7 linked regions of the Canis lupus familiaris genome follow. The protein of the gene in region 5 interacts with the protein of the main gene of each other region in a pairwise test. Links are inferred from orthologs where the notes say so. Each region holds a gene or a part of one and is shown on either strand. Other genes may lie near its edges.

Region 1 (4,181 bases), on a different chromosome or scaffold from region 5:
GGGTGACAAACAGGAGAGACACCTAACTCTGGGAAATGAACAAGGGGTCGTGGAAGGGGAGGTGGGCGGGGGTGGGGTGGGGTGACTGGGTGATGGGCGCTGAGGGGGGCACTTGGGATGAGCACTGGGTGTTATGATATATGTTGGCTAATTGAACTCCAATTAAAAAAAGAAAAAAAAATACCTGCACCTTAAAAAAAAAATCCTGGGTCTCTAACATCATGCCCCAGGCAGAAGGCGGAGCTAAACCCATAAGCCACTGGGGCATCTTGATCAAAAGAGGGATATGTGAAAATTATTGAAGGCAACCGTATTTAATATGGAGCAGGGAGCTCTAAAAGGAGAGCTCTCACACACCACCACTCTTAAACAGCCTTTGCAGCCCCCAACAGGAAGGAAGATTTCCTCCTGGCTCAGCAACAGCCCAGCCAATGAGAAACTGCCACAACCCAGACAATGAGAGGCCATCACAACCTTGATTCTCACTCTCCTCCAATAACTTTCCTTGAAAACCACCCATGGCAACTTCCTGTCTGCTAGGACAAAAAGAAAGCTTTTCGTTGTACTCTGTATTTGCTTACAGTTCGCCATAGTTCACGTGTCCTGAATTGCAGTTGGTCTCCTATTTCCAAATAAACTCATTTTGCTATTAAAATATTTAATATTCTTTTTTTTCCATTTAATATTTTAAATGTGATGTCTGCGTGCTACCCAGAAGAAAAGAATAGGGACGCAATCCGAACTCTGCTTCGTGCCACATCTCCTCGCCCTCCTCATCTAATCATCCTCATTTCCAGATCGTACTTCAGTGTGGCTCTCGGCACCATAGTGAGTGCTTTGGCACCGTTGGCTCCCTTCCAAGAGCAAGACACAGGCTACATTTTGAGACCCTTGTAGACGTGCAAGTTAGGCCTTTTCCACAGGATCTGTGGTTTCATTTAACACTGAACAGAAAGCCGTTGCTTAGAGCTGACCACCAAGTCTCCCTGAGGAGTGAGTGTAGGGGTGAGGAGGTGGGGCTGGTGGTGGTTGTGTGGCCGTGGAGGGCACTCAGAGGCAAAGGAAGAGAAAATAATTCACTCCGTGAGGGGTAGAGGCTGCACGCCTGGGGGCATGCTTCCAACCTGGGGACAAGTTGCTGTGCCACCTTCAAACAGGCATCAGGCCCTCCCTTAGAAGCCCACAGAGACCACAGAGTAGAGCCCACCTCTACTCTAAGAGGTGCAAAACGAGGTCTCACTGGAAGTGATTTCTGGTGGGTCACCGCATTTCCGCCCTTGCCTTGGTGGGAGGAGCCCATGAAGTCCCGCCCATCAGCTCTCAGCCTCTGAGTGGCTGGCACTAAGCGCACTGGGTCCTCATTGGCTGGATGATGGGCTGGGGCATGTTAAGGCCCTTCGCGTGGTAGCCTGAGCCAAAGCTCATGAAGGCACCTGACTAGACGTCCCGCGGTGCGGAGGAACCAGCGTGTGGTCTGAGGGGCTGCTGGGGTCAGAGTGCGGCTGGGTGGCAGAGACGTGGACAGAAGCAGGCTTGGTGCTGTGTTTGGGGGCCGCAGGCTGCCCTAGCAACGGGACCATGCTTCGGCTGATTTCCAGGGCTCTTGCCGTCTTCCGGAGGAAGATAGACTCGTCAGAGGCAGAGAGGGAGCAGCATATGAGGCTCTTGGAATTGGAAGGTATTTAATTTGTCTTCTCCCTCCCACGGGCCAGCACCTAGTTCAGAACTTCCGGGGCTCAGAAGGGCGCCACATAGCCATGCCAGCGCCTCCTTGTGGGGAGAGGGGTCCCTGAGTCCCTGAGCATGCCCGGAACCATCCTGCCCAAAGTGACGGTGGTGTAAACAGGGAAGGCCCCTGGGGAACTATGCACCACCCTTGCATTACCTCCCGGCCCCATGCCTTTGAAACTTACATTGTGTGTATGGTATGTACAACAGATTCCTTTTCATATTTCCAGTAGTAGTGGATCTCTCTGATTTGAGGGTGCATTTGATCTCGTTTCCCAAACATGCGTATATTTGAATCCAAGTGGTCAAGTCGCTGGTAGGAGGCTGGGGGCCACGGGTTAACTTGCTCACCTTTGTATCCTGACACAGTCCAGGGTCTGGCACTGAGGGGGAGACTCAGGAGGCCCGGGACAGGCATCAGGGTGTCGGTGAGTCCCCATGAAAACTGAGAGGGTGTGCTGAGGTGGATGGTGGTCCTGTTCTGAAGTGTTCCTCTCATGAGCCGAGCATTTGTCTGGACTAAGCCCTGGGCTCAAGGCTGGAAGACCCCCACAGGGAGCGGGGAGTATTGTCACGTTCACTTTACAGCCGGGTCAGGGAGACACAACCAGGGGAGAGCCGGCACCCGGCTGGTGTTACCCAGACCCGGAGGCCAAGCAGCCATTCCCTGCTGGGTGTGCCCCGGTCCCGCCTCTGGGGGGCCTCCTTCCCCAGAATGAGTGCAGGGCGGGCTCTGGGCCCGATTCTGGAAAGGGTCATCTCTGGTGGATGCAGTCCTCCCAGCAGGGCCCCAGCCTTCCTGGTGCCTGACTGGGCCTGCAGCTCCTCTGCCGGAGGAGTGTGAGCCCTGCAGAGTTGGCGGATTCTCGGCCCAGTGGGCCAAGGAGGGCTGCTGCCGAGCTTGAGCGGGAAGCGCTGCCGCTGCATCCCTTAGCCGGTAGCCATATTTTTGCCAATGGGACGATGCAGAAGAGTTTCTGATTTATTTTCATGAGCCTAGGTGGCAGTTGTCACCCTTGTACCTTCCATTTCCATATGTTTTGTGATTTCACTTGACAAATTTGACCCATTTTTAAAATAGTTTAGAAGAGGCTCCTATGGGGCTCTGTTGGGTTAAGCGTCTGCCTTTGGTTCGGGTCTTGGGTCCAGGGATTGAGCACCACCTCGGGCTCCCTACTGGAGGGGGGAGTCTGCTTCTCCCTCTCCCTCTGCTCCACCCACCCCCTCTCTTGGGTGCTCTCTCTCAAATAAATAAAATCTTTATTTTTTAATTTTCTAAGCCCTCCTCAAATAAAATCCTTTAAAAAAAAGTTTTCAGGGGATGCCTGGGTGGCTCAGTGGTTGAGCATCTGCCTTTGGCCCAGGGCGTGATCCTGGAGACCCGGGATCAAGTCCCACATCGGGCTCCCTGCGTGGAGCCTGCTTCTCCCTCTGCCTGTGTCTCTGCCTCTCTGTGTGTCTCTCATGAATAAATAAATAAAATCTTTAAAAAAAAAGTTTTCAGGATCTTCTTGGCTTCTGAAATCAAATTGTAAGCAATGTTTCTCCCAGCCTCACTTTGGCATGGCACCTAAGGCGTTGTGGTTCATAGTGGGCCCTGTGGGCTTATTCTCTAGGTTCAGATATCAAATTATGGCTTATTAGCTGTGTTTGTTCATGAAATAAATAAATAAGTAAACCTGAGTGTTTTGGATCCACATTTGGGCTAGATTTAAACCCCCAGATCTCTTTGTGTGCTTTGTTCGGTGAGATGTTTCAATAATCTCCAGGTGCTGCTGCTGCCGCTTTTGTTGATGATAAAATTCTATAACAATAATGGCTGTTTAAAGACTCTCTAGATGCAGAAACCATGACAACTAATGTGTAAGCTCTAACCTGTGGGAGGCATTCAATTTTAAGCAGTTGACATGTATGTGTCAGTTAATAACTGTAACAACCCTTTCTCCCCTGCTTTATTGAGACATAATTTGCATATAAGGTATGCATGACAACTTGTTACCTATATATTGTGAAATGATTGCACAATAAGATTCATTAACACATCCACACCTTATATAGTTACCCTGTGTGTGTGTGTGTGTGTGTGTGTGTGTGTGGAGAGCTTATAAGATCTACTCTCCTAGGCAGACATTAGTAATGCCCTGGTTTTCCAGATGGAAACAGATTCAGGGAGGTTAAGAAATGTGCCCAGGGTTACAGAGATGGTAAAGGGAGGAGCTGTGTTCACAGCTAGGCAGTCTGGTTCCAGACTCAGCACCTACTACAAGTCCCACTACCAAGGGCACTTGGCCACTGGGCCTCGCAGAGAAATGGTGGGATCAGCCTTTCAGCATGAGCACTCTGCTTCCCAAACAATCCCTATGCTCCTCAGTCATTATCATCTGTGTCTCAGAGCAAGCCCAATTTGTTTCTAGACTTAGATCATCGTCTCCCATATCTTCCCACGGTAGGGC
Region 2 (4,179 bases), on a different chromosome or scaffold from region 5:
GTCCCCACGAGCACTTGGTCACTTTTAAAACGAGGCACGTGAGAAGAAGAAAACCGGGGACATCGAGTCGCCGTGAAAACACAGCGGCCTCGGTGACATCTGGAACCACGAAGCGTCTTTTTGGACCGACGCGGGGCACAACTCACCCTTCTCTCCTACACGAAGGGGCAGGGCAGTCCTCTTGGCAGAGACACACGCACAAAAAAAGTTGGAAAGCTGAAACCCTGCAGCGCTGGCTTGGCCGGACAGGCCGCCTCGGGGAAGTGCGCTCCTCCGCCTCGCGGGGTCAGCGGATATCCTCACGTCGTGCAGCTGTCAAATCCCAGCTCTGCCCAGGAAGGCCGCTCGCAGTGGAAGGCGCCCCCAGCCATTCGGGGATTCTCGTCCGGGCGGCCACCGAGCTCCCGGGAGCATTCCCACCCCGCCCCTCCTCCGGCGCCAGGCCCTGCCCTCCGCAGCTCCGCCCTCCGCCTCGGCGGCCGGCCGGCAGCTGCCGGGGAAGCCTCGCCAAGCCCTCCTTGCTCGCCGGCCGCCGGGGTCGGAGACCCGGGCGCTCCTTGGAGGGGGGAGGGTGCGGGGTGCAGGGTGCAGGGTGCAGGGCGGGGCAGCCTCTGCAGCCGCTGCCTCGGTTGCAGCGTTGGAGGAAAGCGGCCCCGGCCCCGGCGACGCCGGAACCCCGGGCAGACGCCACTTCTTTTCCTCTACCTGCGTCCTCGCCCACCGCCCGCTAAGCCGGACCCGCGCAGGGCCGGGCCGCCGAGCTGGCGCACAAGCGAGGCCCCAGGCGCAGAGCCCGCCCCTTCGCCCAGCCCCATCGGTGGGGCTCGGCCCAGAGGGCGGGAGGAGGGAGGGGAGATGGGGGTCCTCACCCCCCTGCAGCCCCTCCCCTTTCTCCGCCCGGCATAAACCAGGAGCCGCCCCTGCCCCAGCGCCCTCTTCCCCGCCCAAGCAGACGCGACCCGCGGAGGCAAAGCCATTGGAAAGAGCCCCGCCCTCCGACGGGCTACCTCCGGACCCCAAGTCCGCGCCCGGCCGCCAACTGCAACCGGCTGCTACGCATGCGTGATGGCGAACAGAGCGCATGCGCCGAACGGACTTTTTTTTTTTTTTTTTTTTTTTGCGTCGGGGGCGTTTCCGTCCCGTGACGTACGGATTCTCCCGGCTCGGAGCCGGGGAAAGAAAAGTTAAGAAGTACAAGTACAATGAAGCTATTACGGAGAGAGGCCGAGCACGGCCAAGAGGGCTTAGACACACACCTGGAGGAAACCGCATCCTCACTTAAGATCAGCTTGGAAAGAGTGACGGTGTCTTTATTACGCCAAATCCGAGATTGAAGAAGGCAGGGGTGGGGGTGGGATGGGGGGGGAGGGGGCGTCGTCGCATTGGCTTCTGGGAAGTGTAGTTTTGATGTACCGGCGCGTTCTGCGGGCGATAGAAACTACAGTCCCCAGGAGCCCCTGCGACGTTGCCCGTGGCGGCCTTCGAGCCAACGGTTAGCGCGGACGGAGCTTGGTAAGCGTCGATTTGGGGAGCGCTGGGGGGTTTCGGCTGCCAATTGAGGCTTTTTTTTTTTTTTTCCTTCGTTTCCTCAGGGATTTTGGAGATCGAGGCATCTAGAAGATGGCCTCTTAAGTCCAGGGGGTTTTGTCCGGTGTGTCTGGGAAGGAGTAGCGCGGGCGCCCCGGGCGGAGGGCGCGTTGGGGCGCGAGGAAGGGATGCGGCGGGAACGGCTGCCCCGCGCGCGGCCTCCGCTCGCACCTCTGCCGGGGGGACCCGCGAGGGCGGCCTTAGGTGACCCCGTGCGCTGGCCCTGGCGTCCGCCTTTGCGCGGGGGATGTTGTGTGTTTTCTGCGCCCAAAGGAGATCCCGAGCAGAAGCCAGTTGTCAGATTCATTTTGCACGAGAGACTAAGGGGAAAAGAAGAAACCCCAGCATCCCTGGATGGGAACGTTTGCAGCCTTCCCCCCCCCCCCCCCTTAGGTGATGCTATTTAAAAAAAAAAAAAATCTCCCAAGATTTAGTATGTTTGTTTGTTTTTTTTAAGATTTTATTTACTTAATCATGAGAGACAGACAGAGAAGCAGGCTCCATGCAGGGAGCCGGATGCGGGACTCGATCCTGGGTCTCCAGGGTCACGCCCTGGGCTGCAGGCAGCGCTAAACCACTGAGCCACCCGGGCTGCCCGATTTTATTTTTTATTTATTTTATTTTATTTTATTTTATTTTATTTTATTTTATTTTTATTTTAAATTATTTATTTATTTATTTTAATTTATTTTATTTTTTATTTTAAAGGATTCATTTGCATAAAAGGTTCATGTTTGTTTGTAAAAAAGTCGTACCTCTGGAGAAAAGTCAAGGTGTGAAGGGCCGTCCGGTTCGTCAATGAGATTTTAATTCTCCGCATGGTGGGATGGATGGCGTTTATTACACCAGTGGAGCCGTGGAGGGGCCGGGGCGGCTCAGTTCCCCGGGTGGGGAGTTCGAGCCCCGTGTTGGGTGTAGAGGCCACTTAAATAGAAACTAAAAAAAAAAAAAAATGATAATGATAATAGTAAAGTCAAATAAGTTATTTTAGATAACTTAGTTAAATTTTAAATTATAATGATAATAGTAAAGTCAAATAAGTTATTTTAAACAGCGTACTTAAGTTTTAAATTTAAATTCCGTTTTTGAATTTTAGAAATTTCTCCTTGTGAGGTGCTGAGTATGCAACAGGGGGAAAAGCCGCAGCCCCCTCTCCAGTGATGGCATCTGGTAGTAAAATACACAATTACAGTACACAGTATGGTAGCTGGCTATCTGGGACGTCTAGAAAGAGGGTCTCTTGGCTTAATCCTGGAAAGTCAGGGAAATTCTTCATCCCAGGGAAAGAAGACCGGAAGAAGCCTATGGTGAGGCTCAGAAGGGAGAGAGAGAGACAGTACTTTCAGGAAACTGCAATAAGCCAAAATCCCCTCTATTTTGGGAAGGGTAACTTCCTGTGTGTTGATCTACTTTGAAGCCGCAAAGAGACCAGCCCTGTGAATTTTCCGGATGGTTTCTGAGAGTGACCTGACCTTGGACAGATTTGACAGTTTAAATGAATTAGTCTGATTTGAAAAGGCCTTGCTACTTTTATGCTACTTGGTTTAAATCTGATTTAAAAAAAAAAAAATGTGAACTTGTGAGTATGATTTCAAAAAATTTAAAAAGACATTCCTTTTTTGTCCTTTTTTGGGGCTCCTCCTCCTTGTCCAATGCATAGCGTAGTTTCTTAAATCTAGATCCCCTTTTGCCTGCATAGTTGAGTCTGCTCCCATCCATACACATGGTTCCACTGCCACCTGTGACTTGTAGACGTATAGCTCCATCCAGCTGTACCCATGATCTACGTAAGCACAGCCTTTTCCAAACTGCCGTAATCTGTTGCCAAGACCATTGTCATAGTGATTGTTCACTCTGGCCTTTCTCCATTAGTTCTCCACACTGGAGCCATACTGAACTTTTTGAAATGCACGTCCTGGCCAGACTTCTCTTAAAATCATTCATTGCTGTCTCACTATTCTTAAGGCAAAACTTGTTTGTAAAAAGCCTAATAGCCTCTGGTCTCTTTCCACCACTGCAGCCTCACTTCGTGTATCTACCACTCTCCACCTCTCGCTACTTCAGCCATACAGATCTTTCTTTAGTCGCTGGTTTTCCTATTTCCACCTAATTTCAAATTTCCAACATATCTGTTGAGTGCTATGTAATGGGACAAGTACATATGTCATTGAGCACAATATACATTGACACTTGAACAACATGGATTTGAACTGCACAGGTCTGCTTACAAATGGATTGTTTTTTGATAAATACAGTACACTAGTGTAAATCTATCTTCCTTATGGCTTTTGTAATAGCATTTTCTTTTTTCTAGCTTACTTATTTTAAGAATACTGTATATAATATGTATACAGAGTATGTGTTGCTTATGTTATCTGCAAGGCTTCTAGTCAACAGTAGGCTTCTAGTAGTTAAGTTTGGGGGGAGTCAAAAGTTCTATGGATTAAAAGTTGTGGGATTTTTTTTTTTTACTTCCTGGTGGGGAGTTGGCACCTCTAACCCCCCACGTTGTTCGAAGGTCACCTGTACAAAAGTTCCTACTCTCATTGAGCTTACATTCTATTAGGGAGAGATCAACAATAAATATATAAT
Region 3 (4,070 bases), on a different chromosome or scaffold from region 5:
CCCCGGAGCGCCCCCGTCACCCCGGAGCCCCCCCCCCCGCAGCGCCCCCGTCACCCCCGCAGCCCCTCCCCCCGGCAGCGCCCCCGTCACCCCGGCAGCCCCTCCCGGCCAGCGCCCCCGTCACCCGGCAGCCCTCCCCCCGGCAGCGCCCCCGTCACCTCAGCAGCCCCTCCCCCCCGCAGCGCCCCGTACCCCGGCAGCCCCTCCCCCGGCAGCGCCCCCGTCACCCCCGGCAGCCCCTCCCCCCCGGCAGCGCCCCGTCACCGGCAGCCCCTCCCCGCAGCGCCCCCGTCACCCGGCAGCCCCTCCCCCCGGCAGCGCCCCCGTCACTCAGCAGCCCCTCCCCCCCCGGCAGCGCCCCCGCACCCCGGCAGCCCCCCCCCCCGGCAGCGCCCCGTCACCCCGGCAGCCCCTCCCCGGCAGCGCCCCCGTCACCCCGGCAGCCCCTCCCCCAGCAGGCCCCCGTCACCTCAGCGCCCCTCCCCCGGCAGCGCCCCCGTCACCCGGCAGCCCCTCCCCCGGCAGCGCCCCCGTCACCCCGGCAGCCCCTCCCCACCGCGCCCGCCCTAGCAGCCCTCCCCCGGCAGCGCCCCCGTCACCTCAGCAGCCCCTCCCCCCGGCAGCGCCCCCGTCACCCCGGCAGCCCCTCCCCCGGCAGCGCCCCGTCACCCCGGCACCCCTCCCCGCAGCGCCCCCGTCACCCTCAGCAGCCCCTCCCCCCGCAGCGCCCCCGTCACCCCGGCAGCCCCTCCCCGGCAGCGCCCCGTCACCCCGGCAGCCCCTCCCCCAGCAGCGCCCCGTACCTCAGCGCCCCCCCGGCAGCGCCCCCGTCACCCCGGCAGCCCTCCCCCCCGGCACGCGCCCCCGTCACCCCGGAGCCCCTCCCCCGCAGCGCCCCCCGTACCTCAGCAGCCCCCCCCCCGCAGCGCCCCCGTCACCCCGGCACCCTCCCCCCCGGCAGCGCCCCCGTCACCTCAGCAGCCCCCCCCCCGGCCGCGCCCCCGTCACCCGGCAGCCCCTCCCCCAGCAGCGCCCCCGTCACCCGGAGCCCTCCCCGGCAGCGCCCCCGTCACCTCAGCAGCCCCCCCCCCGGCAGCGCCCCCCGTCACCCCGGCAGCCCCTCCCCGGCAGGCCCCCGTCACCCCGGCAGCCCCTCCCCGGCAGCGCCCCCGTCACCTCAGCAGCCCCCCCCCGGCAGGCCCCGTCACCCGGCAGCCCCTCCCCCAGCAGCGCCCCCGTACCTCACAGCCCCCCCCGGCCGCCCCCGTCACCCGCAGCCCCTCCCCCCCCGGCAGCGCCCCGTCCACCTCAGCAGCCCCCCCCCCCGCAGCGCCCCCGTCACCCCGCAGCCCCCCCCGGCCCAGCGCCCCGTCACCCCGCAGCCCCTCCCCCGGCAGCGCCCCCGTCACCTCAGCAGCCCCTCCCCCCCCGGCAGCGCCCCGTCACCCCGCAGCCCCTCCCCCCCCGGCAGCGCCCCCGTACCTCAGCAGCCCTCCCAGCAGCGCCCCCGTACCCCGGCGCCCTCCCCCGGCAGCGCCCCCGTCACCTCAGCGCCCTCCCCCCCCGGCAGCGCCCCCGTCACCCCGGCAGCCCCTCCCCCGGCAGCGCCCCCGTCACCCCGGCAGCCCCTCCCCCGGCAGCGCCCCCGTCACCTCAGCAGCCCCTCCCCCCCCGGCAGCGCCCCCGTCACCCCGGCAGCCCCTCCCCCCCCCCGGCAGCGCCCCCGTCACCCCGGCAGCCCCTCCCCCGGCAGCGCCCCCCGTCACCCCGGCAGCCCCTCCCCCAGCAGCGCCCCCGTCACCCTCAGCAGCCACTCCCCCCGGCAGCGCCCCCGTTCACCCCGGCAGCCCCTCCCCCGGCAGCGCCCCCGTCACCCCGGCAGCCCCTCCCCCAGCAGCGCCCCCGTCACCCCAGCAGCCCCCCCCCCGGCAGCGCCCCCCCGTCACCCCGGCAGCCCCTCCCCCCCCCGCAGCGCCCCCCGTCACCCCGGCAGCCCCTCCCCCCGGCAGCGCCCCCGTCACCTCAGCAGCCCCCCCCCCGGCAGCGCCCCCGTCACCCCGGCAGCCCCTCCCCCCCCGGCAGCGCCCCCGTCACCTCAGCAAGCCCCCCCCCCGGCAGCGCCCCCGTCACCCCCCGGCAGCCCCCTCCCCCAGCAGCGCCCCCGTCACCCCGGCAGCCCCTCCCCCGGCAGCGCCCCCGTCACCTCAGCAGCCCCCCCCCCCGGCAGCGCCCCCGTCACCCCGGCAGCCCCTCCCCGGCAGCGCCCCCGTCACCCCGGCAGCCCCTCCCCCGGCAGCGCCCCCGTCACCTCAGCAGCCCCCCCCCCCGGCAGCGCCCCCGTCACCCCCGGCAGCCCCTCCCCCAGCAGCGCCCCCGTCACCTCAGCAGCCCCCCCCCCGGCAGCGCCCCCGTCACCCCGGCAGCCCCCTCCCCCCCCGGCAGCGCCCCCGTCACCTCAGCAGCCCCCCCCCCCCGGCAGCGCCCCCGTCACCCCGGCAGCCCCTCCCCCCCCCCCCGGCAGCGCCCCCGTCACCCCGGCAGCCCCTCCCCCCCCGGCAGCGCCCCCGTCACCTCGGCAGCCCCCAGCAGTGTCACCCGCCTGCCCCCAGGGCGTCTGTGCCGCGGGCCGCGGGGACCGGACGGAGCTCCCAGTCGCAGGTGGTGCAGGAGGAAGGCGTGGCCGTAGCCCCCGCAGCCGCCCCCGCAGCTGCCCCGGCGCGCGAGGCCCCAGGGGTCGGAGTCCGGGCCCCCTGCGCGGCCGGGAGGCGACTCGGGCCTTTCCGGGTTCAGGAGGGGCGGGGGCGGGGACGGGAGGGGAGGGGAGGGGAGGGGAGGGGGGCGCCTGCGCACGCGGCCGCCTCGGGCCGCCCGGGGACCCGGCCGCTGCCCCCGCCCCGACGCGCCTCCCCCGCGGCCTCCCCGGGAGCCGGGCCGCCCCGCAGGGCGCCCCCCGCCCCGCCCCGCCCCCGCACCCCCAGCCCAGGGCGCACCCACCTCGGGCGCAGGCGGCGTCCGTCGGGGCGAGCGGCGGGGCCCGGAGGCGGCGGGAACCCCGAGGCGGACGCTCAGGCCGGCTGCCCGCTCGCTCCCCGGGGCGCGCCTCCCGCAGGACTTTCACTTTCGCTTCCCGCGGCCTCGGGGCTCCCCGCGGACGGGCGGCGGCCGGGGACCGGGGCGCTGCGGGCGGGGGCTGCGCGGGGGCGTCGGCGGGACCCCCGGGGGCGGCCCGGAGCCTGCAGCGCCTCCCCGCGGCCCCCGTCCCCCTCCCCCGGGCCTCCCCCTCCCCCGGGCCCCCCTCCGTCCCCCCCTCCCCCCACAGGTCTCCGGGTCTCCGTGAACAAATCTCCGTGAACAAATAGGATCCTGTAAGGACGCGGAGTCCCAGGTCCCAGGAGGGCGCGGCCGGGGAGGCTGGGCCGCAGCAGGTCCGAGGGGCGCCAGGCCGAGCCTTGGCACCAGTGAGAGGCAGGGACCCCAGGGGCCGTGGCTTCTTGTGCAAGAGGCGGCCGTTTTGTTTTCATTTTGAGTGTGTCCAAAAAGTATTCCTGAAGGGTGCACGGGCACCCATTCTAAGGAAAAATCACTCCTTCCTGTGCGCGTGTTACTGGACGTATTGTTGGGAAGGTGGGCAGGAAGGCAGGAAGGCCCGGGGGAGGCGCGTCCGCGGGGCAGCAGGTCCCGGGGCGCTGACCCTCGCCTGCAGGTGCGTAGCCGACAGGTGCAGCCGCCGGGCCCCGAGCCCGGGCCTGAGCCTCCTGCGCCACCTGCGAGCCCCAGGCGGGGAAGGCCGCGCTGTCCCCTTGGCTTCCGCGGCCCGGGAAGGTTCTCTTGCAGCTTTCTGTTGGGAAGCTCGCAAATACATACATACTTCCCTAAGTGTGATCTTTTCCTTTGAAAATGAAAACATCTGGCTCATTTCAAGAACCCAGCGTTTCTTACTGCTCCTCCCAGAAGCACCCACAGCTGCCCTGGCCCCCAGGTAGCGGTCGGGCGGCAGGTGCATCCCCGGGACGTCGGGGCACCCAGCCCGGGAGACAGTGCTGCGGCCACACGGTACTGAGCGCAGCGGG
Region 4 (4,203 bases), on a different chromosome or scaffold from region 5:
GTTGGCAAGAAAGAACTGTCAATAGCCACTAAGAATAAAAGGTGATACAGATTACAGAACTGCCACTTGCATTTCATAATGAGTTATAATTCTCATCCCAGAACAATTTTGAAAGAATTTGCGGCAAATTCTAAGAGTGGAGCCAGATCAGCAGCTTACACCATTCTAAGAAAAAGTGAATACGATTTAGTTTTTTGTACTTTTCTGATTTCCTTCAACAATAAGCAGTTTCAAAGTAACCCATCTGGAAGTTCCTAACAATGAAAACACAATACGAAAATGACGGGTCTTTCACTGCTCAGCAAAAATTTTCTGGAAGAATGAGCTAAAAAAAAAAAAAAGTCCTTGAATGATCTTTATTAACGAAAGTATAAAAATTTGAAACATGTTTAGTGCGCAGTAAGTTTCCTTCTCTTCCTTTGGTCATCTCTAACCTCCATTACTGAGCAGGTGGAGTTAATTAAAGGCGCCTGGGTGGCTCAGTCCATTACGGGTTTTGCCTTCCGCTCAGGTCATGATCCCAGCCGGGGTCCTGGGATCCAGACCCGCGACTTGGGGGCCTCTGCTCAGCAGAGCGCCTGATTCTCCCTCGCCCTCTGCCTGCCGCCTCCCCTGCTTGTGCTCGCGCTCTGTCAAATAAAGAAATAAAAAACATATATTTTTAAAAAGGTAGTAATACTAACACTGAAAAGCACACGATGCTTAGTATGTGTCAAACATCAACTCATTTAATTCTCACAACACTATCAAGTAGCAGTGCTAAGATCTCCGTGTAACAGATGAAAGAGGTTAGGTAACTTGCCCAAAGTGGCGGACAAAGACACCCCCGAAGCCACAGTGCATCAAACACCCATCCGATCCATCACCCCTGAGAATTCAAACTGCTTTTACCTGGAGAATCTGACGGTGCCGCCAAGTGGAGCTCCCGGCTCGTGGCTTATAAGCCACACTGCCCGCTGGGCCATGATAAGCCCCTAAAGCATCAACTCCTCTCCAAGGTGGCCACGGAGGAAAGGCGCAGGCCGGCTTTCTCAGACGGGCGCCTACCGGAAGATCCTAGGCTCACCCAAGCTGTGCCACCTTCTGGCCCGCCACAGACAGGCGGGGCTCAGCAGAGACGCAGGCTCGTTCAGGTGAAGTGACTCAAACCTCCGAGGCCCTCCTGTCAACACATGCCACAAAAGTCCTGTGAATCCTCACCCAGAATCTCCAGAGGCATTCCTCCTCAGCAACTCCGGTCCTTTCTTCCTCTAAGGCCCACTTCCGGGACGGTGGCCCGCAAGGGTCAGGGTTCCTCGCCCGCCCCCGCCACCAGTCTCTCTGCAGTTCGCCGGCTGCTGGATTCCCTCCTCGGCCCCTCCCGACAGCCAACAGGGCGCGCAGCTCCACTTCCGGCGTACGAGGCGGTGACAATGGGAGCGGCGCGGGCGGCGCCGGGAGGCAGCTGACAGGCGTCTGCGGCTTCGCTTCATGGCCGCCCTCCCGCCCCGCCTGGGCTCTGTGGGGAGTCGGGGAGCCCGCGGCGGCCCGGAGCCAGGGCTGACGAGCCGAGCGGGGACCTGTGCGCGGCGCCGCTGAGGCGCAGCATGTGAAGAGGAGACGGCTTCCAGCGCGAGGCGAGCTTCTCAGCCGGCCGGGATGGCTACGACGGCCGAGCTCTTCGAGGTGAGACCCTGCGGCTCTTCGGGGAGTGGCAGGCCCCGGGCGCGGGCAGCGAGGTGGGCGGGCGGAGGAGCGGCCGCGGCCCGGGGAGGAAAGGTGCGGCGGGCGGGGGGTGGGGTGGCGGCTCCGGTGGCGGCTCCGGTGGCGGCGCGGGCGGAGCGTGAAGTGGGGGAGGGGCGGCGGGGGGCACTCGGGTGGGGAGGTGGGCAGGGCGCCGAGGCTGGAGTCCGCGGGGAGGAGGGGGGCCTCGGAGGTTCAGGGGTTGGAAGGTGGACTCAGAATGAGAGAAGTGGGAAGGGCTGACTCAGGGCGCGGAGCGAGGAGCCGGCAGCCCCAGGTGGGGCGAGCCCCGGTCTCGTCGCTTGGATCTTCGCGCAATATTCTGAGGGGGCCACCTGAGACTGGGACGACTATTGAGTAATTAAAATCATTTTCTTGCTAAACGTGACAAGTGGCACTCAGGTGCCTGCCAGTTTCCCCTTACATTCAAATAAGCTGAAGTGTTTTGTTTTTTTTTTTTAGGACAATAAAGGCCTACTTCAGTCTTCAGACTGAAGGGGGAGGTGAAACTGGTTAATTAACATTTTTGTTCGGGTCTCCGGGAATTTAAATGCATTTTAAGACCCACGTCACTGCAAGCTATAAAGAATCCTTAGCGCCTGAGACAATGAGCATTCTAATGTGTTTTCCTTGAGCGTTTTTCACTCTCTCCAACTTAAAATTTAACTTAGCGAAATTCCATGTAAGACGAAGCTGTGGCGATTGAGATAAATAGAACAGGAAAATTCTGCTTGGACCACCAGACAATGAAATATGAAGGGTCTCTTTTTGTGAAAGAAATGAAAACAGAAACGTGAAGAAAAAGAAAGCAAAGGCCCTTTTTGTGTGTGCTTTTGTGTTTCAAATTGAGTAACAAAAAGGCTAAGTAATAATTGAGAAGAGTACGGTTGACAACTGAGAATTTCTCCACAAGTGAAAATTGGATTCTTTTTCTGCTTAAGAGTCAGCAGGTTTTTTGGCTTAAAATTTGAATGTCACGGTTTTTGCAACAATTGGGAACTTTTCATTTGTTACTTAGATTTTGGGTTCCTGTCAGTTCTTGGGTAGATAATGCTTTTTTGGGGAGGAATTTCATATACTATTGCTATAACAACTAATACATAATAATTTTTAAGTGAAGGATTATAATTACAAGAAAGAATTCGGAAATATTAATTGTATGTTCTCAGGTATGTTGGAGGTGTATTGTATTAGCTTGCCTAATTCCAAAATTGTGCCATCTGTTTATTGATTGATGCAGGAGCAGGGAGACATTCTTTTGTTAAAAGCTGTGACTGTGTGTTCCTGAGCAAGATACTAAGTAGTTCTATAGTTCCTTGTTTTATCTTTCACATCTTATAAAGGTAGAAACCGGTTTATGAAGTTGCAATCTTTAATTTACTAAATGAAATGTGTGGCCAGCTATTAATAGAAAACTATCATTTTCTTATATGGTTCCCAAGGCATTAACTTGTGACTTAATAAATCCTGCTTGACATTCCCCTTGTGTCTCCAAGCATATTATGTCTTTTTTTCTTTAATGTTTGGCCACGAGTCACCTAATTTAATTGAAAATATATATGATTTCTGCTCTCCTTACCCCTAGGATAAAAAGGAAGAGATAGAAAAATGCAAACAAATATATTTCTTGAGAAATATATATATACACACACACACACATATATATATTTGCTTTCTAGTGTTACACTATTTAGTGAAGTAGGTGAACCATATTAGGGTTTAACCTGAGTGACTCGTTATGTATAGCTGGAAATACTCACTTAACTGATCAGTGATGGCATAGGCATACTAGTCCTGTGGCCAAAGGGTTCATAGGGTAGCCTTAAACATGCTTATAGATCCTAATTCATGTGACCTTTTTTGTAGCTTCATCAAAATTAAAAGCATATTACAATAAAAGTTACAATTAAATGTAAATAGTTACAATTAAGAAATGTAATTATCTTTTCAGCCTACAGGACTATTCTTGGATAAGTTTTCATCCCTAAGTGAAAAGTTGGGTCTCTTTGCTTTAGAGTGAGGAGGAAAACAAAAAACATAACTTCATTCAGTCATCGCTGCCATTTCCTGTTGCTACTACCATAGGATCCAGATTGTAGGACATGTCAGGAAGTGTCTTTTTCTCTTCCCTTTTTTAGTCACAGCTGGAGAACTGTAGGAAACAGAGGTCAGGATGTACTCAGGATATTTTGTGTTTATACATCCTGATTTTAATGCACTGCTGAGTTGAATTCTGCTTTCATTTCCACATGGAAGAAGAGGTTAAATTAATACAAAATTATGCTTTGAGTCCATGAAGTTTCATAACTGTTAAATCTATTTCTTTAAAAATCTTATTGTTGAATCTATGAGACTTCCTTTTATAATGTAAACACACTCATACAACAAAATCAAACTCCAAGATATTTCTTCATTTGGCAGAAATGATTTAATAACAGATGATGCAGTTATTTTAATCGTATATATCCCGGAGATTGACCA
Region 5 (4,092 bases):
TAATTTAGAAAGAAGTTCTTTTTTCTCTCACCCACTTTAGTTCACCAACTTTATCATCAAATGATGCAGTAAAAGGCCTATTGTCTTTATGACTGGGATTCTTTATCCTGACCTCTACTTGTTGGGAACCCTTATCTGTACATACCTTATGCCTCTCCTAAACTTAGAGAAAGGTATGAGAAAACATTTGGGAACAGATTATTTTAGTTTTGACACATTACTCTGACCTCTTTTGAAGTCATTTTCTGACTCTAACCCTCCGACTCAGACCCTTATTTATTTTTAAGGACCCTTGCGATTACATTGGGCCCACCCAAATAATTCTGGATAATCTCCCCATCTCAAGACCCTTAATTTAATCACACATGCCAAGTCTCTTTCAACATGTAAAGTAACATACTACTGGTTCCTGAAATTTGGATGTGGACATCTCTCTGGTGGCACTATTCTGCATACCACAGCCGGTGTCATTATGCCCAGCCAGTCCCAAGAGCAGCAACTCTGATGGAGGAGCCTACCTCGGAAAAGTGTGAGAACATGTTCTCTAGAAACAGAAAGGAAAGGGCACCGATGTAAGGTAAGAGAAAGAGGCCGTTTTACAGTGAATCAAGAGAAGGTTCTTTTTCTGACAAGGATTAAGGAACAAGTTGAAGACATAAAAAGGGTGGACAAATTTGGGAAAGCAGCTGGTGGAAAAGCCTCCAACTTAGGAAGAAAAAGCGACTGCCTCCCCAAGGGCTTATCTGAGACGTGAAGGTGGTGACATGCTTCAGACGTGGGATCTGAGGCCAGTTAGGCCAATTACCGTGTCCATGAAGATGCCACTAAGCCCAGTGCCAAGAGAGCCACCTCCATTCGTATTTCGAGTTTTACAACAAACCAATAACATCAGAATTAGAGGAGTTTTCCCACCACCTCCCTATTGTTAAGCCACTGGGTTTTCCCCCCATGATTCCTATAAGAAACCTGACACTAATTGGACTAGCATAAGAAGGGGAAAAAAATGAATCACAGATTGCACTGGAAATAAACTAAGGAATAAGAAAATATGACCTCTGCCCAAAAGAACAACGATGAAAAATTGCACCGAGGGGCTATATATAGTGAGCATTTAGATTTTTAAAAGGACAAAACATGGAGTCTGATAAGATCTACCAGCTGTTTCTCTTTCCTCAGACCTTTGCCTAGAAGACAGCTACTGAAACTTGGGTGTACCTCTCTCTTGCTGTGTCATACACGGTTCCTTTCCTTCCCCACCCCCTCCCTGCTCTCCTGCCGCCCTGGCGCCTGTGTGTGTGTGTGTGTGTGTGTGTGTGTGTGTGTGTGTGTGTGTGGTTTCTCTCTCTCCCTTGTAAGAACACAGCTGCCTGTCCCCTGCTGTCACCGCTCCTCTGACTAGCTTCTTGCTGCCTCTTGCCTCTCCTTTCTGCTTAGCTCCCTGTCTTCTGGTAAGTGCGACAATCGCTCCCCGAACCCCGTGAGAAGCTGTAGGGTGCGGTTTGTGGTGTTCGAAACTTGCAACTTTGAGATTGCCAGTGAACTCTGAAGAACTTTCCATTGTTTTATTTATAATTGAAATGTGTTGCTCAGGAAGGGATGTGTGTGATAATTTGCTGGACTACCCAGTACAAGTGAAAAATTCTGAGGAGAGAAAAAAGGCAATAAAGTTTATTAAGAAGATAAAATTTAGAAATAATTTCTTGCTGTCAATTAATTAATATGGAAAGGAATCATTTAAAGTAGCAGAGTTCTCTGACTTTAATTTTCTCCCTCTTGGTGATTTATCTTGAGGCTACTTTTAGGAATTGAGTTGTCTTGTGGTTTACAATGACTCAGTTATTCTGTATTAAAGTAAATGTGGGCAATGAGTTTAAAGGATATCCATGGAATTAATATTAAAAACATCAAGGACTGTGGCCTCTGAGGAATGAAGAATAAATCAAATACAAGTCAACTTTTGCATTTAGACTAACCATACTAAAACTCTTGTGAGCAGTCAGTGTTAAATTCATTGCTTTGAAGTTGGGGTTTACTTTAGATTTTATTTCATACTAAGAAGACTCCCTAACACTTTAAAACCCACATATGTATTTAAGCCAGTAAATGTTTACTGCTTTTAGTTTTGATTTTAAAAGGATTCTCTTCCCTTAATTTTCAAAGAAGTGCTAAATGCCATGGCTCCTTTTAGAAGAGCTTAAAATAACTTCTGGCTGGACAGCAGGTGCCATGTATCTTTCTCAGAGTTTAGGGGAGGCGTAAGTTATATATAGACGAGTGTGCCCAACAAGTTGGGGTCAGGATAAAGAAATACCAGTGGTGAAAACAATGAGGCTGTTTACTGCATCTTTTGATGATAAAGCTGGTGAATTAAAGTAGGTAGGAGAAAAAAGTACTTCCTTCCAAGTTAATGAGCACTTGATGAAGGCCGTAAGTGGGTGGCAATGGCTGTAGGCTGGATTTTCCGTTCTTGTTGGGGTTCAAGCACTTGAGATCCCCTGCCCTGAGAATGAGAGGAGGAAGCTGTGCAGTGCATGGAACAGTATGTTTTTGGTTTTCTTCTCGAGCTACCACAACAGCAAAACCTGTGCATTATGAGAAACTTGTCATATTTTTGTGTCGTTCATTAGCAGCATCCCCATTAAATACCATTAACAAATAAAAGGCACCATAACTCCAAGGTCAACTCTATTGCAACCCTAGAAATGAAGATGGCCAGAATTCCTAAAATTCTTTGACTCACCTTGTACTTCAGCCCCTCTTTCCAAAGAGCCCACATTATATGTGGATTATTTCCCAAGTTTATCCCCTCCCTATTCATTAAACAGTGCTATTTCTTAAAAATTAAATTATGAAGTTAGCCTAGAGCTTCTTGACTGAGAAAAAAAAAGAGTTGTAATCTGTGTTTTTTTTTTTTTCTTAAAGAAAGTCAGTTTTTATATTGGAACACGAAAATATTAATAAAATTCAAGAAATTATTATTATGACCATCACCATGGTTCCATACTAGCTTTTGGTTAATTTGTACCTTCCTTCATTCTTCATTTTATCCAAAAATGGAGCTAGTTTGAACCTCAGAAAACGTGTTTTGCTGATAGATGATTAAGTGTTGCTCATTTGAGGAAAGGAAAACACCAGAAAAGCAACAAAGTATTTCCTGTATGTAGTATTCATTTATTTATTTATTTATTTATTTATTATTCATTTTTATCAATGTATTCATATTTATCAAGTCTTCACTTATGGATTAAAATAGACTAGGATTGGAGGGATCCCTGGGTGGCACAGCAGTTTGGCGCCTGCCTTTGGCCCAGGGCGCGATCCTGGAGACCCGGGATCAAATCCCACGTCGGGCTCCTGGTGCATGGAGCCTGCTTCTCCCTCTGCCTGTGTCTCTGCCTCTCTCTCTCTCTCTCTGTAACTATCATAAATAAATAAAAATTAAAAAAATAGACTAGGATTAGGACTGCTGTTGTTATGAATGATTTTAGTAAGTTCAGTGGCTCTTATATTAAATGTTTTAACTTTGAAAAAAATAACAGCATTTTAAACATTTTAAATACAGCCATCCATCCATGTACTTCCAATGACTGTAAGTCTACATAGAATAAAGTAAGAGAGCGATAACCAAATTGGCTTAAGCAATATGACAAATATAACATGAAAAACAATATCTTGAATTACTCCATTAATGTCAATCATAGAAATTTCTACTGGAATTTAAAGACCAAAACCAAAAATATGTTCACAGTATGACTTGCTTTGGAAAAATGGCTTCCCACTGTTTTTACATAACTAATTGCAATATCAATGGTTTGCAAAAGTACATTCATTCTATGTTAGAAGCCATAATTAATAGGTGCCCTTTGGGGGATATCCTTACATTTTATGTGTAACTTGGTTAACTATATAAAACCTGACTATGCTTATCACTAGATACATCTCCCAGTATGGAGATGAATCATTCTGTGCAGCTCTCAGGGGAACCCCAGTCAACACCTCCAGGAGACAGTTCATCATTACCCAGTCAAAATGGCTTGGAGAAGCAAGATGATAAGGATTCCTCAACCTCACTCCAAGCACCAGAAGGGATAG
Region 6 (4,241 bases), on a different chromosome or scaffold from region 5:
GGGGAAATACAGAGTATAAGTGAGATAAATCATATTGATTGTATTAGGAAGTTGGTAGACAATATTTAAAATTAAGAAATAGTAGTACTGTATAAGCGTATGTGGGGTTATGTGTATAAACACCAGGAAAAAAAAAGCTGAATGTTGTTGCCTCTGGGAGTGGGGCTAGAGGTGGGAAAGGAAAGAGCTGGTTAACTATCTTTGCATTGTAAATCCTTCTGTGACCATGCGCTGGAATTACTTGGATTAAACACCCAAATCAAGCCAAAACAAAAAAGTTTTTTGTGGTTCCCCATGGCCTATAAAATACAACCCAAGCACCATAGAACCATCTTCTATAGCCACATTACTCCAAGTGTGGTCCCTCGATCAGCAACATGGCCGTCACCTAGGAGCTTATTAGAAAAGAAGAACCGCAGGCCCCATCCCAGATCTACAGAATCACAATCTGCATTTTAACAAGGCTTGCAGAAAATTCAAATGCAGTCAAGCTTAAGAAGCATCAGTCTAAAAAAAAAAGGCATCAGTCTACAGGATCAAGCATGATCTGGCCGATCTGGACTTTTTTATCTTCAATACTAGTTGCTTCTCATTGGCCAGAAGTGTTATTTTCTACTTCTTTAATCTAAACTCAGTGGCAGGGCACCCAGCTGGCTTAGTCAGAAGAGCATGTAACTCTTGGTCTCTGGGTCTGCGTTCCAACTCTACATTGGGCATAGAGATTACATTTTTTTTTTAAGATTTTATTTATTTATTTATTTGAGAGAGGGAGAGAGATTTTATTTATTTATTTATTTGAGAGAGGGAGAGGGAGAAGCAGACTCCCTCCTGAGCAGGGAGCCTGATGCAGGGTTCCTTCCATCCCTGGACCCTGGGATCATGACCTGAGCTGAAGGCAGACACTTAACCCACGGAGCTACCCAGGTGCCCTAGAGATTACTTTAGATTAAATGAATAAATAAACTTAAAAAAAATAAATTCCGTGGCTACACTGAAAGTGCATGTGGGTGTCAGTAGCTAGCTAGATTCTAACCACTGTTCTAGACCCAACCCTCCCAACCCTCCCACCCCACCCCAGGAAGCCTTTCAAAACCCTCTGCAGTTCTGGGTCACCACTGTTCCTTAAACTCCCCTATGGCTGAGGGTGCTTAGGCTTTGTTCAGCAAACACTTATCGAACGCCTGCTGTATGCCTGCTGTATGCCGGGCCGGATTCAGTCGGCAGAATGGGGAGAAGGCACTGAACTCTGCTAGCGCTCCTTCAAGTACAAATCCAAGTACATACAGATCGCCCAGCCCCACCCATTCCAGGGCCAGACGTGTGCGCGCAGCACTCGAACACACACACGCACAGGCACAGACACGCACGCACGCCGGCACAGTCTGCGCGGCTTTTCTGAGAGTTACGGTGCCCTCCGCCCGCCCCCGCGCGGCGCGGGCGGGGACCCACCCGTTCCGCTGGGCGCCGGCAGCCGGGAGTCGAGGACCCCCGCGACCCAGCCCCAGCCGGCCGGCCGGCCGGCCGCCCGGTCCTCTTCAGCCGTAGGCCCGCATGGAGGGGACTGCGGAGTCCCAGACGCCTGACCTGCGAGATGTGGAGGGCAAGGTGGGCAGGAAGACCCCCGAAGGGCTGCTCCGCGGGCTGCGAGGCGAAGGGGAGCCGGGAACCTCTGGCGCCCCGCTGCTCCCGGGGGCGCCTGGCGCGGGCCACGGCCTGGGGGACAAGATCATGGCGCTGAGGATGGAGCTGGTGAGTGTGGGCTGCGGGGGCCGGGGCCGGAGTCCCCAGCCGGGTTGGAAGGGACAGACTTATGCCCCCAGAGTTGGGCTGGAGAGGCGAGAGTTAAGACTCCTTACCTAACTCCTCGGGATCCCTCCCAGATCAATCCTTAAACCCCGGGGTTCATTAATTGCCCCTCCCAAAGGTGAGTGGGGCGTTGATGGGTCCTGAAGACTTGAGGTGGGAGGCACTGGCTCCTGGAAGTTTTTCCTACCAAATAATTGGGAGGGGAGAGGTGAGGCTGGGAAGCACTGAGAACCTAGCAGAGCCCAAATCTCTCCCCTCCCCACCCCACCCCTCCACCAGGGGCCATCTCTCCCCTGGCCTCCATTATGGGGCAACCAGTTTCTTCTTTTGGTGCAAACTGGGCCCAGAGTTTGCTCATCTGAGGCCTCAGTGTTCATGACAAGATTCAGCTTGGAAGAGATCTGGGTGAAAACTGCCTGGACTAGAGCCACAAAAAAAACATCCTCCCTTTCCCCAAACCCCCCTCCCCAACCCCCACTTAAAGTACTTGGAAGTTCCTAGAACCCCGGGCATCAGAGTAATAGCACCATCAGCATTGGCTTCATCGCCTCTGAGCCCCCCAGGTATACTGGATTTTTGTATCTCGTACCTTCTTGGGGAGAAGAGAAGGAAACAGGCACCCTCCCCCTCCTTTGTTGCTGCTAGTCTAGATTCAGAGCCAGAAGGGCATTTGGGGCTGCCCAGGCTCCCCAAGGCCCTGGTTCCAGTGAAGGGGGTAATTTACACCTGCCACCACTCTGCAGCCAGTTCTGGGGAACTGAAGAATTCTCTCTGGCTCAGAACCAGGAGGCCACAGTGAGTGTGTCAGCTAATAGGTCTTTCTGGAGCCCACCATCTGCCTAGCTGGGCTGTGAGAGAGCAGAGGAGGGCATGGGGGCTCTTAGGCTGAGACCGGAGCCTTCTGAGCAGAGCAATCAGGGAAGGCTCCTTGGGGGAAGGATTTAAATGCCAAGTGTGTGCTTGGCCCTGAAGGTTGGAGGTAAATACCAAATTCTTCAGAGCAGGCCTGTGACTGCCCACCTGAGGGAGGGGCTTGACTTTGCTTCATCGTATAAAGTGGTGCCAGGCATCATGCTGAGCACTTGACAAAATATTCTCTTACTCCTCACAGCAACCCTATTAGGCAAGTGATATTTTATAGATAAAGAAACTGAGGCACCGAGAGGTTAAGTAACTGCCCAAGGTCGTACAAAAAGTAAAAAGCAGAGCCAGCCTTTGAACTCAGACCATCTGCCTGCACTTTACATCTTTACCATTGAGATCTGCTTTGTGCCACTTTAAAGACTTTAAAGACGCTTTATGTCATTGAAGTGGGAAAAGCAGTCATCGTTCCCCCATCGCGTAGATGAGGCAGGCTTGCCGGTGTTAAGGGGCTCGCCTGGCCTCACACAGGGAACCAGTGGAGGAGCCCTGCCTCTTCTTTGGTTCTGATTCTTTTGCCTTTGATGGAGATTACCTGTCTGTAAACTTTAAAGGGGGTACATTTAACTTCTGATTAGGTCTCTGCATTCTCGACCTAGCCTGGCCTGGGACTCTAGGCTGCCCATGAAGGAGGGGGCCTGCTGGGGGCCAGAACAGGGAAAGGCTCCCTCCCTTATTCCTTTCTCCTTCCTTGGCCAAGATGTCATTGATGTCATTGTGTACTCAGCCCTGCCCACTGTGGGGGCTGGGCAGAGGGTTTCAGTGGCAGAACTGTTCCAAGCTCTCTGAACACAGTCCTTCCAACTGTCCCTCTCCCAGCAATCATGCAGGGAGTGGGCAGTCATGCTCCTAAGGCCAAGGTTATTCCTGCCTCTAGGCTCCTTTTCCTCTTGCTTCCCTCCCCCTCTCCCAGGTTCAGTGAACCAGCCAGACTCTGGGGTTGGTGGGAAGGGAAACAATGGCAACCTCCCCTACTTAATCCTCCTACTCAAACAACTGTTGCTGCGACAACCCACCCTCACAGGGCAACCTGAAAAAAAGCTTTAGGCAAGGAGGGGGATGTCCTGGGTTCAAGTCCTGACTCAGCTTCTGAATTATTTAGAGGTCTTTTTTTTTTTTTTTTTTTTAATTTATTTATGATAGTCACACACAGAGAGAGAGGCAGAGACACAGGCAGAGGGAGAAGCAGGCTCCATGCACCGGAGCCCGACGTGGGATTCAATCCCAGGTCTCCAGGATCGCGCCCTGGGCCAAAGGCAGGCACCAAACCGCTGCGCCACCCAGGGTTCCCCATTTTGAGGTCTTGAGTAGAGCCCTGACTTTCTGTTGATCTCAGTTTTCCTGATTCTTGGAGGATGAAGGGACAGGGGCTTGTGGGACCAGATAGTCCTAGTAACGTTAGTCTGAGAATCTCAATCCTTGGCCAGGGAGCTGAGCCTGGAATCTCCTGGCTTTACCCCAGGGCCTGATTTGGATTGAGCAAGGAGGAAGCCATACTCGTGACCCTGGGACTG
Region 7 (4,182 bases), on a different chromosome or scaffold from region 5:
TCACTGAATCTTCAGGGGCTGAAGAATGGAAACGATCAAGACCCCAAAGATTCAGATGCAGTGAAACGCCGGGACACCTGCACCCCGATGTTTCTAGCAGCAATGTCCACAATAGCCAGCCTGTGGAAGGAGCCTCGGTGTCCACGAAAGATGAATGGATCAAGAAGCTGTGGTTTATGTATACAATGGAATATTCCTCAGCCATTAGAGACGACAAATACCCACCATTTGCTTCGACGTGGATGGAACTGGAGGGTATTATGCTGAGTGAATAAGTCAATCGGAGAAGGACAATCATTTATTGTATGGTCTCATTCATTTGGGGAATATAAAAATTAGTGAAAGGGAATAAAGGGGAAAGGAGAAAAAATGAGTGGGAAACACCAGAAAGGGAGACAGAACATGAGAGACTCCTAACTCTGGGAAACGAACTAGGGGTGGTGGAAGGGGAGGAGGGCAGGGGGGTGGGGGGTGACTGGGTGACGGGCACTGAGGGGGGCACTTGGCAGGGTGAGCACTGGGTGTTATGCTATATGTTGGCAAATTGAACTCCAATAAATAAATTAAAAAAAAAAAAAAAAAAAGACCGGCAACGTCCGGGACACGGCCACTGTCCCGAGCACGTGCCACACTCGACAGAATGAGACACTACTACCTTCCCTAACGAACCTTCTCTTACGCACGTGACAGCCCGGGGCCTCCGGAGCAGGTGCTCCGTACAATGTTTCCAGCCACCCCCCGCCCCCCATCAGTCTACAAGACTTGGCTCCCGGGTCATCTCCCGCAGGAGGGCGGTTCCTAGACCCAGGCGGGGCGCGGTCCTCGTCCCTCCTGGGGTCCCTCAGTTCCCTGGACACAGCGAGTGGTCCCAACGCGGAGCTCGTCACACTTTCCCAGACCCGTGGTGTCATCCGGTTTCTGTGCTTTGCAGATCCGCAAGCCGGCGGTTAACGCGAACTAAGCGGGCCCGCCTTCCCCCGCGCTAGAAATGACCCTCGCGGGCCACCACCAGCCGTCCGCAAGCAGGGGGCCGCCCCGGTCCCCACTTCCGGCTGGAGATACCAAGTGTGGAAGCGGGGGAGGCCCGGAGCCGCCACGCGAGTGCCTTTCCACCCTCCAGGGCGAGCGGTGGGGACAGTGGTTGTGAAGATGAAGTGAAGACATCGGCCTCCACTGACGGGAGCGGGGAGAGGCGCCGCTGAGGAACCAACGCGTCCTCGTCCCTCCAAAACCGGGACTAGGGGCGCGGGAAAGCCTTACCCGCACCGGACTCAGCGCCGCACCCGCTTCCACCGGAACTTCCACCCCCCACCCCGCGCCTCTGAGGATCACGTGACCCGCGCGGTCCTGCGCTCCGATCCCCGGATGTGATGTGGGTGAGCCCATTTGCATGCGCGGAGGGGCGTCCTGGGAGGACGCTGCTCCGAGGAAGAAGCGAGGGGGCAGTGGGCGGAACGAACGTGCGGACGGCGGAGGCCGGACGTCGGGGTCGGCGGTGACGCGCGTGCGCGCCCCCGGCCGGAGGTAACGGCGGGAAGGCTCGGGGGCGCGCGCGCGTGCGCAGCGGCCCAGTAACCGCATGTGCGCCCGGTGGACGGGCGAGGGGCGGGCGTGTCCCGGTCCGGAGGCAGCCCTGGCTGCGGCGGCGCCGCGGGCTGCCCGGCCGTACGGCCCGGGGCTGGCGTCCGCCGCCGCCCGCTGGCCCCCGGGCCCGCCCTCGCCGGCCCGGCTCCGCTGCGGCGCCCCGCCCGTCGGCCTCGCCGCGTGTGCCCTGCGGAGCCGCGAAGGCGGACGTGGCCTTTGGCGGCGCGCCGTCCGGGCCAGCCAGGTGGTCAGCCCCTCCCCCGAGGCCGGGCCGGCGGGAGGGCGGCGGGGGGGGCGAGCTGCCGCCCAGGCCTCGTCTTCCGCGGCGGAGCCGGCTGCGGGCCGCTCTTCCTTTGCAGAGGAGGGACCCCCGGCACAGCCCTCCCGCCTAGGCTGCCAGATCTGGTTAGCTTCCCAGCGTTGTTGCGGCTTAGCCTTGGCGGCACTGGGGCCGATTCGCCTGGGGGCGGGGCGGGGGGCACGAGCAGTTTTTATTTTTATTTAAAAAAAAAATTTTTTTTAGCAGTTTTTAAAAAGTGAGTTAATAATGTTCGTCCAAGAGGTACGGAAATGCAGGAATCGTGAAGGACTGAAGAAGTTGGGAAACCCTGAGTTCACCGATCGTCTGACATCAGGGGCGCGAAAGAAATGATCCAGGGCTTAAAAGGGACAGTTCCTTAGGAGCACTTTATTTATTTATTTATTTATTTAAAAGATTTTATTTATTTATTCACGAGAGACAGGCAGGGACACAAGCAGCGGGAGAAGCAGGCTCCATGCAGGGAGCCCGAGGTGGGCCTCGATCCCGGGTCCCCAGGATCACGCCCTGGGTCAAAGGCAGGCGCTGAACCGATGAGCCACCCAGGCTGCCCCTTAGGGGCACTTTAAAAAAAAAAATTTTTTTTTTTTTAAGATTCTACTTATTTATTCATTCATGATAGACATAGAAAGGCAGAGACACAGGCAGAGGGAGAAGCAGGCTCCATGCAGGGAGCCCGACGTGGGGCTCGATCCCGGGTGTCCAGGATCAGGCCCTGGGCCACAGGCAGGCGCTGAACTGCTGAGCCACCCAGGGATCCCCCCTTAGGAGCACTTTAATCGTGAAGATACTTGAGGGCCCTAAGCCTAGGGCGCATACTGTCTTCCTTAACGTTCCTTACCAGCCTCAGAGTAAAAACGAGTCCAAGGTCATTGACTAGTCTTGATTTGTAGTTAGAGTAGCCTTATTTGCAGAGAGTAGTTTTCCTTGAGCCTTTCATCCGATTCCTTAAATAATTTCACACTTAATAAAGAAGTATTATAGTGTAGGTACACTACGGTAATACAGAAGTTCCCTAACTGCTTGCATTCCGTTTTATTTTATTTTATAGAGGCGAAGAGGAAGCCCTAGTAAGGACCATCAACTACATGTAACATCTACATATTCACATTTACACGTATTATAGCTGTAGCGTAATCATATAATAAGCTTCTGTATTTTCTTACTTGAAATACAGTACCGCCTTTAGTTTGTCATCAGCTTCTTGCCCCTCTGGCTACACCGTTCTCAGTGATCAGTATAGTAGAAGTGAAATTCTCTTGGGTTACAGACTCCTAAACATTTAGACATTCACACTGCCCTTCAGTGCATGTAGGTTCAGGTTTTAAAAATTATTTGTAATAAATGTGTATGTTAAGTGTACTGTGCCATATTCCTCGCATTAGAAGGTAGAAGATCTTTGCTTTGTCCTTCCTTTTCTCATTTAACGTTGCAGTGGTGGCCAGCTGTGACAAGATCAGTAAACCACTCTATCAGAGTTCCCTACTTAAAAAAAAAAGTCAACTTGATTTGAAATTCATCTGAAGCCAACATGAACAGGGATTGCAAGGATTTAATTTATTTTTATGTTAGGGTACCCGCAGCTAAATTTTTATGTTAGGGTACCCGCAGCTAAATTTGCTTTTTCAGCTTTACAAAACCATAGTCCTGTCATCACACTTACAAAAATTTATAAAAATTCCATGATGTCGATATTCAGTCTGGGTTTAGATTTCCCCAAGTGTCCCTTAAGTGACTTTTTACAATTAGCTCTTTTGAAGCAAAATCCCATAGAGATTCACATGTTGCATTGGTTGATACATCGATTAAATCTTTTTAAATAGAGCGGTTCCCTTGTGTCCCTTGTCCCCCTTAATATTCTAGATTTAGCTGATTGCATCTGCATGACATCCTTTTAACATGTACATCTTTTCCCTTTAAACCAGTAGTTAGATCTAGAATTGCACTGTCCACTATAGTAGCCACCAGCCAGCTGTAGCTATTAAATATTACCATGATATAAAACTAAAAATTCAGTTCCCTGGCTTCATTAGCCACATTTCAAGTGCCCAGTGGTCACAAGTGCCTGGTGGCTACCCTTTGAATGGTGCAGAAGTAAAATTTTTCAATAATTGCAGAAAGTTCTGTTGAATAGCACTGATCTAGAAGATCAGATTTAACTTTAATTTTGTGTGTGTGTGTGTGTGGGGGGGGGGTCAAGACGATTTTCCAGGTGGTACAGTAGACAATCTATTGCATTATCAGAGAGGTATGAAATGTCTGAGTTGTCTCTCTCTTAA

What was found.
Region 1: the proteins of TXLNB (region 5) and CT55 interact in binary tests that used the Homo sapiens proteins (3 or more experiments, as listed by UniProt). The two-hybrid records come from large-scale screens. The link is inferred for Canis lupus familiaris from reciprocal best matches to the Homo sapiens genes TXLNB and CT55.
Region 2: the proteins of TXLNB (region 5) and CEP57L1 interact in binary tests that used the Homo sapiens proteins (3 or more experiments, as listed by UniProt). The two-hybrid records come from large-scale screens. The link is inferred for Canis lupus familiaris from reciprocal best matches to the Homo sapiens genes TXLNB and CEP57L1.
Region 3: the proteins of TXLNB (region 5) and NMI interact in binary tests that used the Homo sapiens proteins (3 or more experiments, as listed by UniProt). The two-hybrid records come from large-scale screens. The link is inferred for Canis lupus familiaris from reciprocal best matches to the Homo sapiens genes TXLNB and NMI.
Region 4: the proteins of TXLNB (region 5) and EXOC5 interact in binary tests that used the Homo sapiens proteins (3 or more experiments, as listed by UniProt). The two-hybrid records come from large-scale screens. The link is inferred for Canis lupus familiaris from reciprocal best matches to the Homo sapiens genes TXLNB and EXOC5.
Region 6: the proteins of TXLNB (region 5) and LURAP1 interact in binary tests that used the Homo sapiens proteins (3 or more experiments, as listed by UniProt). The two-hybrid records come from large-scale screens. The link is inferred for Canis lupus familiaris from reciprocal best matches to the Homo sapiens genes TXLNB and LURAP1.
Region 7: the proteins of TXLNB (region 5) and CEP63 interact in binary tests that used the Homo sapiens proteins (3 or more experiments, as listed by UniProt). The two-hybrid records come from large-scale screens. The link is inferred for Canis lupus familiaris from reciprocal best matches to the Homo sapiens genes TXLNB and CEP63.

The regions. Positions count from the first base shown.
Region 1 is NC_049260.1:106,945,753-106,949,933, reverse strand, and holds the start of CT55 (cancer/testis antigen 55), read left to right. Parts: upstream 1-1,381; 5' UTR 1,382-1,578; coding exon 1,579-1,678; intron 1,679-4,181. UniProt on the Homo sapiens protein: Plays a role in spermatogenesis, possibly acting in the regulation of the autophagy pathway.
Region 2 is NC_049233.1:66,409,365-66,413,543, forward strand, and holds the start of CEP57L1 (centrosomal protein CEP57L1), read left to right. Parts: upstream 1-1,379; 5' UTR 1,380-1,512; intron 1,513-4,179. UniProt on the Homo sapiens protein: Centrosomal protein which may be required for microtubule attachment to centrosomes.
Region 3 is NC_049240.1:54,265,781-54,269,850, forward strand, and holds the start of NMI (N-myc-interactor), read right to left. Parts: upstream 2,801-4,070; 5' UTR 2,572-2,800; intron 1-2,571. UniProt on the Homo sapiens protein: Acts as a signaling pathway regulator involved in innate immune system response.
Region 4 is NC_049229.1:33,150,853-33,155,055, reverse strand, and holds the start of EXOC5 (exocyst complex component 5), read left to right. Parts: upstream 1-1,403; 5' UTR 1,404-1,638; coding exon 1,639-1,665; intron 1,666-4,203. UniProt on the Homo sapiens protein: Component of the exocyst complex involved in the docking of exocytic vesicles with fusion sites on the plasma membrane.
Region 5 is NC_049222.1:31,692,715-31,696,806, reverse strand, and holds the start of TXLNB (beta-taxilin), read left to right. Parts: upstream 1-1,292; 5' UTR 1,293-1,448; intron 1,449-3,933; 5' UTR 3,934-3,947; coding exon 3,948-4,092. UniProt on the Homo sapiens protein: Promotes motor nerve regeneration. May be involved in intracellular vesicle traffic.
Region 6 is NC_049236.1:14,262,365-14,266,605, reverse strand, and holds the start of LURAP1 (leucine rich adaptor protein 1), read left to right. Parts: upstream 1-1,441; 5' UTR 1,442-1,551; coding exon 1,552-1,749; intron 1,750-4,241. UniProt on the Homo sapiens protein: Acts as an activator of the canonical NF-kappa-B pathway and drive the production of pro-inflammatory cytokines. Promotes the antigen (Ag)-presenting and priming function of dendritic cells via the canonical NF-kappa-B pathway.
Region 7 is NC_049244.1:31,766,936-31,771,117, forward strand, and holds the start of CEP63 (centrosomal protein of 63 kDa), read left to right. Parts: upstream 1-1,382; 5' UTR 1,383-1,390; coding exon 1,391-1,524; intron 1,525-1,753; exon of another isoform or gene 1,754-1,828; intron 1,829-1,862; exon of another isoform or gene 1,863-1,989; intron 1,990-4,182. UniProt on the Homo sapiens protein: Required for normal spindle assembly.